Linked DNA regions of Mus musculus. The protein of the gene in region 2 binds, or shares a complex with, the protein of the main gene of each other region. Links are inferred from orthologs where the notes say so. Each region holds a gene or a part of one and is shown on either strand. Other genes may lie near its edges. The genes, in order: Rora and Nrip1.

What was found.
Region 1: the proteins of Nrip1 (region 2) and Rora are in contact, whole or in part, in a crystal structure (PDB 4S15), measured with the Homo sapiens proteins. The link is inferred for Mus musculus from reciprocal best matches to the Homo sapiens genes NRIP1 and RORA. Residues at the interface, in NP_001426204.1 of Homo sapiens: Thr499, Leu500, Leu501, Gln502, Leu504, Leu505, His507; in NP_599023.1 of Homo sapiens: Gln332, Val335, Lys339, Phe344, Met345, Gln349, Gln352, Ile353, Leu356, Pro505, Leu506, Glu509, Leu510.

The regions. Positions count from the first base shown.
Region 1 is NC_000075.6:69,370,704-69,374,511, reverse strand, and holds part of Rora (nuclear receptor ROR-alpha), read right to left. Parts: intron 3,298-3,808; coding exon 3,176-3,297; intron 1,424-3,175; coding exon 1,291-1,423; intron 498-1,290; coding exon 390-497; intron 1-389. UniProt on the Homo sapiens protein: Nuclear receptor that binds DNA as a monomer to ROR response elements (RORE) containing a single core motif half-site 5'-AGGTCA-3' preceded by a short A-T-rich sequence.
Region 2 is NC_000082.6:76,370,038-76,374,585, forward strand, and holds the start of Nrip1 (nuclear receptor-interacting protein 1), read right to left. Parts: upstream 3,013-4,548; 5' UTR 2,835-3,012; intron 1-2,834. UniProt on the Homo sapiens protein: Modulates transcriptional activation by steroid receptors such as NR3C1, NR3C2 and ESR1. Also modulates transcriptional repression by nuclear hormone receptors.

The DNA.
Region 1 (3,808 bases), on a different chromosome or scaffold from region 2:
TCAGTGTTTACCTTTTCGTAAATGGTTATTGTATGAGGCCAGGGATGGTGGGCTTTCCCATCTTAGCTTCATTGTATATATGAGCCATAGTCTTTCCATTATTTGAACACTGTATTTATTGAAAACCTGCTTTACTTGAAGCTGCAAGGGTGACTGTGAAAGCCCATGCACTACTCACTCAATGGCTACCTTGCAGCTGAACTCAAGCTTACATATGACACAGACAAAGATATTTGCTGCTTGCCGAGTGTTTTATAGCAAATGGCTACTATACACAGAAAAATAGGTGTATCACCCTTTAGCTTTGGTTCCACATAACCAGTTTCTATTGTGCCACATGCTTGTACATGATCCCCACTTACAGAGACAAAACTGTGAGCTTTCCTTACCTAGGGACTTGAAGACATCGGGGCTCGCATACTTCCCGTCAAAGTACACGGTGTTGTTCTGAGAGTCAAAGGCACGGCACATCCTAATAAACACCACCTCTAGCGAGCCTGCACGGAGGAAGGATTGTTTAGAACCGTCCCACAGACCTTAGTTCCTTTCTGAGGTACTGAAACAGATGCCTTCCTGAGATGGCACAGCGCTTTGTGCCTGGCTTCTCAGTCTCACTGGCCCTCTGTCCAAAGGGGCAGAAGAAATGAAGACTGACTCACATTGCAGAGGGCAACATTAATGCATACTTATTGCAACAATCCAGCCTAGGAATGACTCTTTGAGCCCAGAAGCATCTTTCCAGCAGCTCAGCACTAGGGCTTGAAGGGTGATAGTAAGATCATGGGCGTACAAAAATTCCCTAGTGGAGCCTTCTTCCCGGAGGAATAGGAAAATGGGAGGAATGCTTTCTGAGCATATCTTTTAAAAATATATCTACACACACACACATACACACACAGATACAAATAACTAGTGTATGAGTATTTTGCTTGCATGTGTGTGTGTGTGTGTACCATGTACACGCCTGGTGTCTGTGGAGATCAGAAGAAAACATTGGGTCCCCTGGAACTGTAGTTATTTATGGTGGAGCATCCAGGTGTGTGCTGGGATTGAACCTGGGTCCTCTGCAAGAGCAGCAAGTGCTCTAACCATAGAGTCATCTCCTCAGCATCCCCCCCAAACACAACTTTAAAATGTTTTTATAAAAAGGGTTCAGTTTCTGCTAAGTATACCCTGAGCTATTATCACTGAAGAAAATGCCTTCGACATCTTCCTTAGCAAGCATTTCTGTAACAAGCAGGTGAAAACAGGCAGGAAGTGGGTATTAGGATTCACTCGCAGCACACATACCTGCTTTTAGAAGCACAATTTGATCATTTTGACACAGCTCCATAAATCCATCAATGCGTTTGGCAAACTCCACCACATACTGGATAGCTTCTGTAATCTTGATGGCACACAGCTGCCACATCACCTCTCTCTGCTGTGAAAGAGGAAGGCACATTAGCATAAGACTAGCTGGGAACCCTGGTGCAGCCAGCCTCGGGCTGGCTTCCTAGTTTGTAAAAAGCTTTCTTTGGAAATGGGTTAAAAAAAGATTATAGGATTAAAAAAAAATAGTCTCTGTTACTTAGGTTATAAAAGCCTGCTTCCGTATCCTTTCTGCCTACTGAGATTCCTAGCTTACAGTTTGAAGGTGATGGAATGGAGGGTGGCAGCGAGGTGGGGGGTAGAAAGTGAGGAATATTATGGATGTATGGGGCCAACAGCTCAACACAAGTCAGGAGAGCAATATACATTACTGCTTAGCTGTGGGCTACACAGTAAGACAAGGATCTTCTTTTTCATGCAGTTAATTTATTTTAGGGAGTTTACCCATGCTCTCCTTGGAGGAGGGGAGGGAAGAAAAGGGGTACCAACCACATTTTTTTGTCTGTACCCCCTTATGTTTGATAACATCCCTGTTTCATATCATACACATTGTCTTCTATTCAGAAATGACATCAAAACGCTGAGGCTTCTCAGCTAGTAGTACAGTGTAAGAGGAGCTGAGGTCGAAACCCTACTTCTCAAGGCTTGCTGGTTCTCCTCTGTGGCTGGGATGATGGGGCTACTTTGCACTGAGAGGCAGACTAAATGAGCTGTTGCCGGTCCCTTCTTCCCTCCCACTCATCACAGTGTCCTGGGGCTTTTTGCTTTGCTCCTCTGCTCTTCCGATACACCCTGTTGTTTAAGGTTGGTTTAAGGTTCTTTCTAATAGTATGATGGGGATCAAACCCTGGAGTTGAGTCACATGAGGCCATGGTGTTAATGCTCTCACTGCGTGGTCACAGCCAAGGGATGACAGTTTTCTTCCATTTCACAGCAAAGGGAAGGATCCACCTCTATCATCTCCATGGTCCTTCCCTAGCCCGACTTTCTATGATCACTGGAAAACGCCTCCATATCTTCTCTTTCCAAAGGCAAAGTGAATAAGTACCACCACCCTACCTGCAGCTTACCCTCACACTTTAGTGACCCCATTGGTCATTATCGTTGAGAGAAAAGCAAGTAGGGTCATCACCTGTCAGGCTCCGTTTTGGTTCTGAGCAGTTATAGCCAGACTTTCCAAACCTCATTCTTCTCCTTCTTTATTAAAGCCATTTTAACTTTGTGTGTGTGTGTGTGTGTGTGTGTGTGTGTGTGTGTGTGTGTGTGTGTGTGTGTAGCACAGAGGCTCAGGTCCCCTGAAGCTAAAATTACAGGTGAGCTACTTGACATGGGTGTTGGGAATCAGACTCAGACCCTCTGGAAGAGCAGCAAGTGCTCTTATCCAGTGAACCATCTATCTCACCAGCCCCACCTTTGCCCACAATCTCTAGCCAACTATTTGTTAATCTAGAAGCATGTAGCATGGGGCTGAGAGTACTTTCCTCAATTCTTAGACCTCAGAATCTTTTTCTGTGGCATCAGGACAAATCCTCACTCGTGGAGGCTTTCGGAAGCTGCCCGATCCAGTTATCCCAACTGGCACAAAGGAAGGACTTACGAAACACAATAAACTTTGTTCCAGCTGAACTTTCACACGCTAGCATCTCAGGAAGACAACAAAGCTCTGGCTGTAAGATCCTGATCAGAGACTTGAGCTCTGATGCAGGACAGTCAGCCTTGGTCTGTCTGGACTCTTGAATGAATGCCCTTCTCCCACCCCCACCCAATGTTGCCTCAGTGGGAAGAGAAAGTCCTCCAACTCTACCTTGTTCTGGTAGTTTTCAATCTCCTCCTGCAGGAAGGTCTGCCACGTTATCTGCTGGAGCTCTTCCCGCAAGTACTGGCAGGTTTCCAGGTGGGATTTGGATATGTTCTGGGCAAGGTGTTCTGGGGAGAAAACAGGAGATCACGACCATGAACAGCCACGTTATTTTAGGAGCCAATAATACTCTTCTGCCGGTGTCATCCACCTTAAAAAGCAACTCACTTAAAGCAATGTGCTGACATTTGGTTTCCTTTGTATAGCTAAGGAAGATGGAAACCGCCTGTGTTTGTGCCCCAGGGGATGGAGGAGAGAGGCTTTGCAAAGCCAACAAGACTGCTGGAAGTATGGTGGATTCAGAGACTTGAAGACCTTGGCCTTGTCATAGGCTTTCTGCCCGTGTCTGGAGATGAACATGGGTTAGGCAGGAAAAATGAAAAACAGCCTCTTCTTGGCTTTTTGTGCTGTCCTGACAAAAGTGGGTCTTTAAAAGCCAGGAAGTTATGTAAGTGTGCACATGTCTGTGTGTGAGCACAAGAGCATACATCTTTTTATTTCTGCAGTATGTGTATGTGTCTCGAGTGTCTTCCTTAATTGCTCGCTCCCCTTGCTCCCTGTCCCCCCCCCCTCCCCCAT
Region 2 (4,548 bases):
TTCATTTTTTTTGGTTGTCCTCAATGTTCTAAAATAGTGATGTCTGGCAGAATTAATGCAGTGCTCTAGTTCTCTCTGTTCGGCTGATATTTAATTAAAGATCTGGGAGGCCATCTTTCAGGCGACACCGTGGAAGGAGGAGCCTTACTCCCTCCTTGGACAATGTGATAAGCCACATGGCAGAGGGTGCCTCCTTCAGGCCTCCTGTTTAACAGACTGCTTCCCTGCAAACAGTCCTCCAGCAGGACAGGTTGTATAGCACTTCCCTTCACACTGACTGTATGCTCAAACACATGATCTCACAGGCATCGACTCTCTACTCCCTAACCTTCTCCACATCCAAACTGTTGGTAAGTGGCACCACTCCTCCCTCTCTATATTTTTTTAATCATAGCTTCTGTCCCCCACCTCCCCACCCCAGAACCTCTCAAGGCACTGAGAACACTTATTTTGTAATATTTCTTGAATCTCTAATAACACAGGAAAATCTTTGCACAGTCAGAGCCACCTTGGAGCACAAGCTAAAAGAAGCTATCTTTAAAAAATTTTTTTTTTCTTTTGAGTTAATATCTTCTGGAGACTAGCCCACTTGAGTTGATATGTCATAATTTTTGATTCCGAAAGCGGCATGGGTAATTTAAATTGGCACTTGCTATGCATTACTGAAATAATTGTTCTCCGGGATGGCCTTTGGAAAGCCTAAACTTCTAATCATGTTTTGACTATACAGGAACCATAAGGGATGTGTCAACGTAAGCAGACTCCAAGAGCAATAGACTAACAAACAGACTCTAGGTGGTGGTATAGGTTATTTTTTAATCACAATGTTTTGCTCTTAAAGCTGTAGGAGTCAAAGCCTTGGCCTTATCCACAAACATTTTGCCATTGCTAACGCACAATATTTTCAGATCTCTCGATTATAAAAATTCAAGTTCGGCAAAGTTTGGAAACACAGATAGGTGGCTCTAAGTCTTCTCGTAGCCACTGAAGCCTGGTTTCCAAGTATCTTGAAGGCACTTCACAGGACTCATCTGTATACAAACAAGCAGCAACCGAACTTCCCTCCTTAGAGTTTGTATGTCTACTTTTTAAGTATATTTTCTTCATGCTCCAGTCCCTGAAAGGCTAAGTGTGGAGAGAAGTGTCCCCAGTAGAGTTATTATAAAACAGGCTGGAGTAAGTATCTGGTTTGCAGGTACTGCCTGCTACAATTCTGACTCTCCTTCTTTGTCTACAGTAACTAAGTCCTGTACAGAAATTTCCTGTTGGTTTTGAAGTCCCTGAATCAATTAAACCCTGTTGGATATTACCAAACTGCTGGGCAAAACCAGGGCAACTCACTTGGAAGTGGAAGATTTCAACATACTCCAGACAGCAGCCACTCTTAGGGGCCGTGCATAGGAAGCACCGTTTGTTTAAAAAGTCGACTTATTTCACTCTTAGACAAAGGTGGCAACCTGATGATTAAACACTGGATAATTGCATCTGGAAGATGCCGCCCACTTGCTAAACCTGTGATTCACTAATAAGCGGGTTCAATGTAATTCATAACTTTAAAGAATTACTAAAGCCCCTGCTTTACAAAACCCAAGAAACACAGACCACACATCATTTAAGCATGTATTCGTATACACAGACACAGACAGACAGACAGACATGCCAATCTTGGTTTACTTTTAGTCTGTCTCTCTTTCTCTAAAAACACGGTTTTCCTTCAGTGTCACAATCAGCTTACATGAGCAGACAAACTCCAGCCTGGTGCCACAAAAAAATGAGTTAAAAGTTCTTGCACCTAATCATGTCCGGACTTTCCCCCAACTAAAATGACCCATTAATTAAAACAACAACGACGACGACAAAGTATTTTAACGTGAAATTACCTAACGTTCCGTTTTTCGTTTACGACCTCCAGAATCCAGTTAAATTACTGACATGATGGAAGGTAGAAACTCCTGGAATGCCTTAGAGATCAACATGTGTCAGACTCTCTGCCTGTCCGCCTTTTAAACACAGTGGATTCCTTTGTTCCTTCAGTCTGAATATCAACTCCTGATTAAAATTTGGAAAGTACTTTGGAAAGGGATAGGAGGGTCTGGGGAATGTTTGCACGCTAGAGGGTTTCTTCTAACAACAATAGTATTAAAGGAGGACAGTGGCACCAGAGAGGAGAGCGGTCTCCCCGGACTTTACCAGGCTCATGCGAGTGAACCCCCTCTCGGATGCTGGGGGAACTGGGCTGAGGCCTCGGGTGCAAGGAGCCTCGCCCTCCCTCGGCAAGCGGGGAGCTCGTGCCCAGCAGGCCGGGCCTGGGGCTCAGTGCTGCCCCTTCTCCGAGTCACTTTTCCCGGCCGGGGATCGGCGAGCACCGCGCAAGGGAGACGGCAGCGATAGGCGGGGAGCAGCGCGGGCGCCACCGAGAGCACCGCTGGGCGGCAGGACCGAGCGGCGCGGCAGCCAGCGCCCGGGGCTCGGGGCCAACGGGGGCAGCTGGGCGGGCGAGCTCGACCGGGGCCCCGCGACCCGGCCACCCGCGTGGGTCCCGGCGCAGAACACCCAGGGCGGCTGCGCCCCTCGCGCCAAGGCTGGCACGGACGAGCCCGCGGCTGGGAACTCCACAACTTGGCGGCTGCGCCGGCCGGGCCCGCGAGTTCCAGGGGAGAGCCGGAGCGGGGCGCGGCGGAGGGCTGTCCCCGGGATCCGTGTTCCCGGAGCTCCCCGCGGGCCTCCCCCGGCCTCCGCCGCCTCCACGGGCCGCGCACCCAGGCCGTGCCCGGGCGGCGCGGCGTCCGCTCCCGCGAGCTCCGCACGGAGCCCGGGCCGCGATTGCCACTCACCGAGGCCGCCGCGGCTCCGGGCCGCCGATCCGCGTCGCTCCCTCCTTCCCAGGTTAGCCGTGCCCTGCGGCCGCGCGAGGCCACGGGCGCTGCGCTCGGGCGGGCTGGGGCCGGCTCGTCCTCCGCCTGCGCCGCGGTCGCCGTCGCCTCCCGAGTTCGGGGCTCTGCTGCAATGTCTGCGAGGCTGACTTTGAGCGCCTCGCTCGCCGCCCGCCCGCCGCAGCCGCGCTCCTCCCTCCGCCGCCGACTTCGCGGCGGCCGGGTCCCTCCCCTCGCTGCTCCACGCCATTCAGCTCTTCAGCCAAGTTTCTTAACCCTTTTCTGCCCCTCCCTCCCATTGTCACCCGGGCCGAGCGCGCACCCGGAGGCTCGGCGGAGCCGGGGAGCCCACCGGGCGTCTGCAGGCCTCCTCGCCGGTGCTCCGGGTGGGGGTCCGGGACTGATCGGCCTTGAAGGCAGAGAGAGGACGCGGTTGGACCCGGAGAAGGAGGGGGTGCTGTGCTTCCCGAGCCGGCGCCCTGGCTTCCCAGCCCCGTCCAGCCAGCCGCCTGGACAGATTCCCCGCTAGGGGCCAGGCGATCGCCCATGTCACCCGTGCCGGGGCAAACGCTGGGGGCACCACAGGGGCGTCGGGGCACCTTAATCCTACCCCAGGTTCCCCAGCCTACGTGCTGGCACCTTAAGTGTCTCCCTTTCTCCCGTTTCACCCCACAAACACGCGTTCTTTTGGCGCCCTTTACCCACCCTCAATTTCCACCTCCTTAAAATCTGTGTCCCGCTCAAATCCCGGAAGCTGCGGCGCTGTATAACTCTAGGTCATTTTGACCCCATGCTCAGCACCTAGTAGGACCCAGTGATAAATATGGCATGATTCCAAGCGGAAAACTGGAAAGGAGACCTGAGGAGTGCACAGCTAGCTCCCTAGACGGACGCAGGACCCAGGAACCTGGTTTCTCTTCTGCTGCTTTGTCACTGCGAAGTCTCCAGCAGGGTCTGCCCGCCAAACTGCACCACCCCCAGGAAGGATCTGACCCAACAGGACTAGGAGATGGGCTGTCACTTCTTTAAAGCAGCTCTTGCTGGGTTCAGAGTCTCAATAAATAACAATTACATCATATAGCCAGGGTGGCAATGCAGGGAAACTTGGGTTTCCTGCAGCCTGGTCTCGCTGAACCCGCCTCTAAATTTGAGGTGGGCTAACAGATTGGTGAGGCGAGAAAGTGGAGGGAGGAGAGAAAAATAAGAAACCATGATCTCTTCCTCGCCTTGTGTTTTCTGCTTTTAAAACCTATTCTCTCTACTCCCTTCATATCTTACTTGTGAAGCCTCCTTTTAACGCTCCCCCTACCCCAGATGTCTCTGTCTCGTTTGTTTTTGACTCTAGTCATGAAAAGAATTACCTGCGGGAAGACTTGTGGTTGCAGAAGTTGTTTTTGTTTGACATTAAAAAAAAAAAAAAAAGGCTAAAGTACATCTTCGATTCACCCTAAACTCTGAAGTGCTATCCCTGCCTTAAAATACTTACTAAGACAATTTTGTGGATGAAGCTTTCTACTCTCATATGTTTTCATATCCTTAAGAATTTCGGTAGCATTTGGAAGCAGTTATTGATGCACACCAAAACCAAAAATTATCCAAGTGACCCAACCGTATTCTTTACTGTTATATAATAGCTCTATAGCTATTTTTCGGATTTTTCAAATGAAAAACGTCT